2 linked regions of the Yarrowia lipolytica genome follow. The protein of the gene in region 1 purifies or fractionates together with the protein of each later gene. This does not show direct contact. Links are inferred from orthologs where the notes say so. Each region holds a gene or a part of one and is shown on either strand. Other genes may lie near its edges.

What was found.
Region 2: the proteins of YALI1_F17004g (region 1) and YALI1_E31351g purify together in Saccharomyces cerevisiae (affinity purification with mass spectrometry, with the first as the bait; 3 studies listed by BioGRID). This does not show direct contact. The link is inferred for Yarrowia lipolytica from reciprocal best matches to the Saccharomyces cerevisiae genes MAK11 and ERB1.

Annotation. Positions count from the first base shown.
Region 1 is NC_090775.1:1,698,373-1,702,713, forward strand, and holds YALI1_F17004g (uncharacterized protein), read left to right. Parts: upstream 1-2,087; coding exon 2,088-3,494; downstream 3,495-4,341. Other genes in the region: YALI1_F16984g (uncharacterized protein), read right to left, coding at 1-54, 298-891; YALI1_F17025g (uncharacterized protein), read left to right, coding at 4,137-4,341.
Region 2 is NC_090774.1:3,131,731-3,137,049, forward strand, and holds YALI1_E31351g (uncharacterized protein), read right to left. Parts: upstream 3,404-5,319; coding exon 941-3,403; downstream 1-940. Other genes in the region: YALI1_E31369g (uncharacterized protein), read left to right, coding at 5,203-5,244, 5,298-5,319.

The sequences.
Region 1 (4,341 bases):
TTCCGACGCGGACTCGAGCCGTGTGAACTCTTCGGCGTCGTAGAATGCCGCAGTCTGTGTTAGCTAGAGAAAAGAGGAGTACAGTGGGTGCTGCTGTACAGTATTGTGATTAGATCAGCAGCTGTAGATAGTACTTGTAAAAGTGTAGATCCGATCGGGAAATTATACCAGTCGATTATTCAACCACAGACCTGTAGAACAACCCAAACAGCACCAACCAACTGTCGAATCAAAGCAACTATCACACATCGCACCTAACTGCCAATCTGCACTGCATGCGGTTGATTCTATACTCACCTTAATGACCTCCGCCATACCGTTAATGAACTCTCGAACGGGCAGAGTCTCGAGGAAAGAAGTGTCGATGAAAATGTTGACGGGCTGCCAGAAGGCGCCGACCAGATTCTTGCCCAGAGGGGTATCAATGGCGGTCTTGCCTCCAATGGACGAGTCAACCATGGCAAGCAGAGTGGTGGGGATCTGGACAAACCGCACTCCTCGCATGAAGGTGGCGGCCACGTAGCCGATCATGTCTCCGATCACTCCGCCTCCCACAGCCAGGATCACCGTATCTCGGGTGCAGCCCTTGGACAGCATCCAGTCTTCAATGGCGGCCTTGGTGGCTCTGGACTTGGAGGTTTCTCCGGGCGCAACGGTGTAGGTCAGCAGTCGGCTCTTGATGCCGTCCTTGGCAAACGCAGCCTCGAATTTCGTCTTAAGAGACTCAACGTAGCCCAGATCCTCAATGTTGGTGTCGGTTACCAGAATGTAGGTGGACGACTTGATGTTGGCCACGATTTCAGACACAATGTGGTCCTGCATCTTGTAGCCAATGTGGATGGACTCCTTGCCCAGAATCGGGACCTTTTGGATCTGACCCTCGGCAAACATGGTGGTGTGTAGTTGGAGATGCGACTGGCTTGGAGAGGAGGTTTGTATAGAAAGATTTGAGTGCCTAAATTGAGTTTAGACTGGAGAAAGGTTACATGACTCACCGTACAACCTGTGCCAAGGGCGGGCCAAAAGAGGATGTTCCGGGCTAGATATCGACATCGACACTGCTTCGGGTGATTGATAGCCCATTTTGAAGCAGATTGAGCTTTGAAAAATGGCAAAAAGACCCATTTTCGCCCAACTGACTACGACTACTGCTAGACCCGGACCGTTGGGCTAAGTCGTCTTCAATCGTCATTTTAGAAGTTCTAGTTGATGACTGCTCACTGATTGGCACAGATTTCAAAAGCACCAATAGTATTACATACTACAAATAGCACTTTTTGAGAGGCGGCTTTCGGATGGATATGGTCACGTGACTCACATAACCTGTCCAATCACGTAATCACTCTACACGTCGACATGAGTACATATACTCGTATGCAAGAAGGTACATACTATGTTGCCAATGTTGGGTCTGCTGGGAGGTTAACCGTTCGGGTATAAGTAAATGTCAAGTAATAGGAGGAAGACACTTTGAGGAAAAGTGGATATAACTTGAAATAGTGATGAAAAGGAGTATGTTTTCCTCACATAATAATACTCTTCAAGGCTGCAGCTATCAAATGATGCAACTATAATAATTGTAGCATGTCGGGATCATGGAAAATGCACCCCTAGCACACATTTTGGTTCAACTAAATCTCAACTAATTACCATTATTTGGAACATGGATCATTCATAAACCAGAATCCGTATAAATACGAATATATTGGTATGAAAACAATCCCAGACGTGACATTGATTGACCAGCAGACACTAAATACCTATTAATATTTCAGATCTGAACTTCTGACGACTTCAAGTTCTCCTTCAAGTTCAGCCGCAATGTAGGCATACAGCTGAAATTTGACGTCTAAATATGGCGCCATTCTCCAAACTACACACCCAAGTAAAAAGCATAAGTTAGATGAAACATTAGTTAGCTTTTTGGTCACTTGAGAGTCGCTCCAAAATGGTCAACGCTCCTTTTCTCCGATCCAAATTTACCCCATTTAATGCAATAAAGTCCCGACCCGCGGCCTCGTTGCATCTATGGCGATTTTCTCCCCATCCCCCGGCCCCACTCCCTCGCTTAGTCAGCATGCACATTCATGCAGACTTCAAATATTTTTGAAACTCTGTGTGCGAACTATTCACATCATCCTAACTACACTATGAGCAAAATCACCAAGCCCAAGAGCGCCCTGAAGGGCTCCAAATCCGACAAGAAGCAGGTCAAGATGGCCGCGGAGGCCGCGGAGAAAATTGTGGCCGAAAAGCCCGTCGAGGAGACCCCAGCCGACCTGTCCAAGACGATTGTGAGCACCTCCTCTTCCACGTCGTCAGTTGATCCTGCTTTTCGAATCGTGACAGGTTCCTACGAACACAATCTCTTTTGTGTTTCTCTCCTGCTGGGCACCTCGCCTGTTTTTTCGCCCATTTTCCATTTTACTCCTCACATTCAGTCCATCAAGTGTCTGGCCACCTCTGGACGGTATCTTGTGTCCGGATCGGCTGACGAGAACATTCGAATCTACGATCTTCAGAAGCGAAAAGAGCTCGGCACACTGACCCATCACTCGGGAACCATCACTGCTCTCGAGTTCTACAAGAGAAAGTGGCTGTTGACTGCCGGAGAAGACGGAAAGATCTTTGTGCTGCGAACCAAGGACTGGGAGGTGCTGGCAGAGCTCAAGGGACACGCTCGAGCCGCCGTGGGCAAGGCCAAGGTCGGTGTTGTCGACATTTCTGTTCACCCCACCGGCCGACTGGCTCTGTCGGTTGGACAGGACCGAAAGCTGATTCTGTGGAACCTCATGACCGCCAAGAAGGCCTCTGTCATGGCTTGCTACCCCGACGTGCTCAAGGTGGCGTGGAACCTGGCTGGAGATCGTTACGCAGTTACCTACACCACGTCCATCTCCTTCTTTTCGCCCGAGACCGGCAAACTCATTGGAGCCATCAGATCGCCCAAGGACGGTCTGTACCACTCCGAGTACGTGTCCATCGACGGAAAGGAATATTTTGCCTTCTCCAACTCGCGAGGCGTGATCCGGTTTGTGGACACCAACGAGTTCGAGGGCAAGACCAACGACACAAAGAACGAGTTCAAGACGGAGGACGAAGACATTGATACCATCTCCTTCAAGGTCCAGCCCCACGCTACCCGAGTCAAGGACTTTTCCTTCCTCATCCCCGATAATGTTCCCGAGGCCGATCGACACGTCTACATGACCTCGGTTTCCACCGACTCCAAGCTTGTCATCACCGATATGAACACTCGAGAGACTGTGGGTGCCTACAACACCGGAGACCGACTTAACTGTTGTGTCATGGTCCAGGAGGACGTGGAGATGGAGATTAAGAAGGCCTTGCCCATTCCCGAGAGCGATCACGACATGTCTGCTTCCGAGTCTGAGGTCGAGATGCCCCAGCCCTCCAAGAAGCAGCAGAAGAAGGCTGCCAAGGCTGCTCGAAAGAACAAAAAGGTGAAGGTGACTATTGAGAAGGATAACTAGACAATGGCGAGCATGGATGTCAGCGCATTTTCGAGCGACTCAGCGCTCCTTGTACCTGTATAAACGGAGTACATAAACTAAACTAATAGATCTTGTATATCATGGAGAACCTAATGTCATAAGGGAGTTTGTTTCAGATCAACTCCTGCTAGGAACAGTGCGCAGACACCTGATTGATCAAATCTCCAGGCAAGTTGACAAGGGAAGAGTTTGTATATGAAACTTGGTACTGACACAAGTTACATTTTAATATATATATAATAAATAAATAAATAAATAAATATAAAACATATTGTAAGATAAAACAACTCCCACCAGTCAACATCAAAAAGCTGTCTATTAGTGACCTTGCCAGTCGTCTCCCAATATAATAAGGTTAGGAGGTTTGGTTTTCTTTGCATCTAACATGCACATTACACGTGACATTGTTTACTTTATTAAGTTAAGGGGATACAGTCTATACAGTCTGAATTATATTGAAGGGGTGATTTGGCAGCCAGTGCAGCAAGACGACGATCATCAAGAGGTCTACCAAGATAGACACAGACACGAAACAGACGGACAAAACCGGAGACACAAACCCAAACTCCTGCCAGTGACACAAATACAACACCCAAAGCAACACATCTTCTGCCCACTGACATGGCCAAACCGCGACTTTCATATACAAACGGCGCTCCAAGCAAGGCCAAGCGAACGACTTCGGGCCAGTTCAACCAGCTGTCACCGTCGCAGATCCAGGAGCTCAAGGAAGCGTTCAATCTGCTCGACAAGGATGCAGATGGAATTGTCAATGAAGAAGACCTGGAAGAGATGCTGGTGTCTCTAGGACGAGATCCAAAGGACG
Region 2 (5,319 bases), on another chromosome or scaffold:
TTTATCTAATGTATGTTTGTACTGTATGGGTGTGTTGTGGAGATAGGAATCGTATCAAGACAGGTGTGTATGAGTATTTGAGATTAGAAGACAAGGGTTACATGAATAGTTGTACTATCTAATTAGAACAAAGTCGTAGTCTTTCCTATACTTGGCTTGAACTTGTCGTGGACGTTGTCCATGTACACTATGTACTGTACTGGTAGTTTGTATGTGTAGATATATCCCTCGTGGAGTGGTATAGAGAACCTGTTACTTTAAAAAGCACAAATAACTATCTTGGAACTGTTCTATAATCTTTGTAACTCGGAAGACTTGTAAACATTGTGGCACTTCTCTACTGCAAATGATGGCAGCACCCATCATTTACTGAGAACAATACTATGACAAGGGTGAGTGGCAGCTATGTCAATCTTTCCAGACTTTCACACCCTATTTGAGCAATATAATATATATATATATATACTATATATATATATTTCCTCTACTTGCACTCATACAAATATGTCTGGATTAATGCAGATCTATTTCCATTGGCGAAGTTTAGCCCTCTTTGAAACGATATTATGGGATCTGCTCAGTTGGCGGGCCCACCTAAACGGAAACGGGCATTTGTGGCATTGTCGCTACTTGATCTGACCTACTAGTGCTTCAACTTTTCTACCATGCTCTCGTGTTACAGCTTCACGGTATTGTACCACAGCTCGTACTCCCCATATCCCTCACACTACTCACTCTTCACCCACTACACCTTGTACTTCTCTTATTTGTACTACAAGTACTCATACTCGTCAAGCCCGAGCAGTTCATGCTTCGCACCTTTTACTGGCGTCAGTTCTATCAATATCTTTATTAAACGACAACTTTGCTACCTCCTAGCATTGTTGCTATGCACCATTGGAAGATTCCAACACATCCTCGCGCACTTGTGAACCACTCCTTACGTGGTCCACAGCTTTGCAGTTCCGTCAGCAGCGGCTGAAAACAACCAAGCCTCCCGGGGATGCCACTCAACCCGCAGAATACCCAGACCGCTCTTGACATCGTGGCCCTTGAGCACCTTGAGAGGCACCAGCAGAGGGTTGGTCATCATGTCGTCGTAGACGGTGCCGTGGAAAATGTTAATATTACCGTCGTCAGAAGCGGAGCAGAACAACGGCAGACCACCCTTGTGGAATGCTGCGTGCCGCACGGCCTTTTCGTGGTATCGCAGGGTCTTGTAGGGCTTATCACTGAGGTCGAGATCGTGCCACAGAAGCCGTTTGTCGAACGACGACAGGATCACGTTATCACCACGGGGATGAATGTCCAGAGAAGACACCCATCTAGCACCGGGCATAAGCTTCTTGGCCATGACCTGCTTGGCCAGATCGTAAATACGCACGTATCGCTGGGTGGCAACGTACAGATGAGGTCGGAAGGGATGGAACATGGCGTCCTGCACAATACCCTTGGACTTATTGAAAGGCGACTGTGACGAATGCTTAGAGATCTGGTGGATGGCCACGGCTCTGTGCTGCGCCGAGGGGGCCACAGTGACCAGATAGTCTCCCTTTCGGTGCCATGCGAGTCGCTTGATGGTTTTGGTGGCGGTAATGATGGCTCCAATACCAGAGGCCTGCTGCTTGGCGGTGGGGGTGATCCACTTGGCAGGAGGGCTCTTCTTCTTGACGTGACCGGTCTCGTCGTCCGAGTCGGAGTCAGCATCGTCATCCAGACCCTTGGTATCGATATCCTGCTGCTCTCGTCCTCCCTCGGCAAAACCCCATCCCTGCTCAATCTTCTCTCGGCCGGTGTTCTCGATATCAAAGTCAAACAGCGTGGGAGGCACAATCAGGAAAATATGCTCACCAGCAGAGGCAGCCAGCATGCCAGGGACAGCGGGGTTCCACTGCACACACTCGACTGAGTCATCCTGAGCATCAATGGACGCCACCAGACGACATCGGTACAGCTCTCGACCAGTGAGCACTTCCCAAACTCGAAGAGTTCCGTCGTCGCCTCCAGTGGCAAGGAACTCTCCACTGGGATCCACAGAGATGGCTCGAACCTTGCCCTTGTGGCCCTTGTAGGTGGTAGCACATCTGATGGGGAAAGGCATGAGATCCTTGGGGGAGGGGAGATCGGGAATCAGAGAGTCGGGATCAATGTTGAGCTTGTTCTTTCGCACTCGAGGAGCCAGGTAGAGATCCAAAGACCGCTCGAAACGCTCTCGAACAGACTCGGAGTAGCCGGGCACATGTCGCAGAGCAGTGTACTTCTTGGGCACGTAGTTTCGCTCTCTCTCGGAAGGAGCAAGAGCATTCCACTCGGCAATCTCCTCTTCGGTGGGCAGATACTCGGCAGGGGGGTTGTAGGACTCGTCGTGGGTGGGAGGGGGCATTTTGGGGGCTCGCAGAGTCATGACGTGGTCCTGGACGTCCGTGAGGTTGTCGGCCCACACGTCGTAGTTGGGTCGGGCGTCAGGGTCCTCCTTGGGCTTTGTCAGCAGTTTACCCTGTCTAATGGCCTGCACCATCTTCATGACTCGCTTGGCCTCGTGCTTGGAGGGAATGAATCGTCTCTTGGGCTCGGGCGCAGCAGACAGAGGCATGATCTCTGTCTTGGAAGAGAACCACTCCACCAGGTCCTCGTAGGGATTGGAGGCGTCATCGGTGGTCTCATTCTTCTGAATCCGCTTGATGAGTTCCAGTTCCTCCTTGGAAATGTTGAGACCCTTTCCGGTGCTCTTGTCTAGCAGGCCGGTCCATCCCTCGGGCAAATCAATCGTCTCCAGTAGGTTGTCCAGAGCAGAACCGGTAGCGGGTCGCATGATTCGCTTACCGTTGATGTCATATCCAATGTGAGGCATCTGGTCGTAGGCAGACAGGGGCACGTTTCCAATGGTATTGGATTCCTCCTGGTCCGAATCGTCCGAGTCGTAGACAGCATGGATTTCCTTCTTGATCATTCGAGGCTTGCCGTCGGCTCCAGGCACAATTTCAACCACGTCCTTGAGCTCATCAGTCTGGTCGGAAGATCGAGACAGAGATCGCAGACGAACTCCGTCATCCAAATGCTTTAGAATCGAGGGGTCGACCTCGTCGTCTCCAGCATCAGAAAAGTAAGCCAGCTCGTCTTCCAGCTCGCTTCCAGACAGATCCTCCTCTTCACCGATGAGTGCCTCAAGCTCGGCGTCAGAGTCACTTTCATCGTCGGCATCTTCTTCGTTTTCAGTCTTGCTGGTGTTCTTCTTGTCCTTTGTCACATTTTCTTGTGCCACTTCCTGCTCAGCTTCATCCTCGTCGTCGGAGTCGCCCTCATCAATGAGTCCCTCGACATCGAACTCGTCTTGCACGTCGACAGGCTCGTCGACTTTGCGCTTCAAATCCTTCTTAACGGAGTTGGAACGACTTCGTACCATTTTTGTGTGCTGTGCGAAAAGTTGCAAATCCAATTTAAAAAAAATTGTCTACTATGCATGTCCAAAGTTAAAGTCAGGTTATGACGAGGAGGAGAAGTGGACATCACCTATACTTGGTTTACGCGGTGAAGTTTGTACTCCACATTAATATCTGAGCCAACACCATTCTTATGATCTGCTCAGATTTTACACATCTCACCAACAACCCCTCTTTTGAAGGGTCCCACAAACGTCACATCTCCACAATAAAATTCCATGCAACTCTGTAACCTCACTTACCTTACAAAGGAGATATATATGTCATCCATAACCAAACATTGAGAGTAGGTAGGTGGTATAAAAACAATACAAGCTTGGCTTCTTGTGATATGATCTCCATATAAAATATCCCATTTTTTCACTCGTGCATAGGTCATATCACACGCCCCAATGCCCCACAACAAAACCACTAGACTGTGCTTAACTACAGTAGACTTCCAACAACGTATACTTGATCTGAAAGCTATATGAGGATTACGGCGTTCTCAAATTGTTCATCCGATTATAATATTGACTGACCAATTTCCTAGGCCATCCTGTCTTACGCCTCAACTTCGATATGGATCCCACTTGCACACCACTTCTTCATCACCACCTCACCCGTACGTCAAACTCTACAAGCGAGGTTCTGTCAGCACAATAAAAACGCTTTGAGGGGCTGCACAATCTTGGTGTCGTCATGACCTCGGATGATTTTGGTGAGAAGTGACTGGGTTGTTTTCTTGGTTGAAGAAATGTAAGAGTAGCTACTTGTACTGTTTGCCCTTTGAAGACTATTGACACACAAAACTCCAGTGCAAGTTCCCATCAGGGGAAAAAAAAGATTGCAGCACCCAGGATTCTCGTATGGGTCTCCCCACTACAATACCTAACTAGGCTCTCCTGGTGCTTGGACTATGGCTGATCGGACGGGAAGGCCGTATTTTTTCCCACCAGGATAATGGCCGCAACCGTTATTCAATAAATTTGGTTGGACCTATATGATGGGAAAGATATATCACGTGACATAATGAATCATTAGAATAAAAAAAAAAACGTGAATCATTAGAATAAAAAAAACCCTGCCTCGCAGCGCACACCGAAACGATTTATGATTTATTTAACGCCAATAACCCGGCTTACTACAAGTACATACTGTAGGTATATAGCTGTAGTGAAGAAGAAAAAAAAATTAGAATAAGCTGTAAGCCGGGTTATTGGCGTTCAATAAATCATACACTTCTGAATCATTGCGGTGTGCGCTGAGAGGCGCACGTCAGTTGGTTTGTCGACGCTTCGTCTCGTTCTTGTCTTTGTCGTGGTCTCGTGGTATTGTTTTGTTTTGTTGTATTCTAATGATTCATCACCGTTTTTTTTTTTTTTCTAATGATTCGGCTTAGTCATCTGAGTTCTGTTGTTTGCGTCCCAAGAAAATAAATATTATGTTCGAAATGGCATCCTGGCCGAGCGGTTAAGGCGAGAGATTAGAAATCTCTTGGGGTTTCCCCGCGTAGGTTCGAATCCTGCGGATGTCGCCATCTTTTTGCCCTTCCGTGGAAGAGCTTATTTTTTTGAGAGCAATTGCGACACACTCGGGGTTGCTATGATTGCCACCAGGCACCGTATAAACTGTGTTCAACCACAATTGAGACATTTCAGGCTCCTGTATATATTTCAGATTACTCAGCCAGTTCGAAGGCAAACTCAATTCAACACTCATATACATGATAAACCACATACTCATATCTCATGCACTCTACCCCAACACATTACACAACATCATGCCCACACTCCACTGCCTTGCCGACCTTTGCCTCATTCCTGTGAGTTACGCCGATACTATCAATTAATGTACCCCGAAATATGACTAACACAGATTGGAACAGGCAACGCCTCAG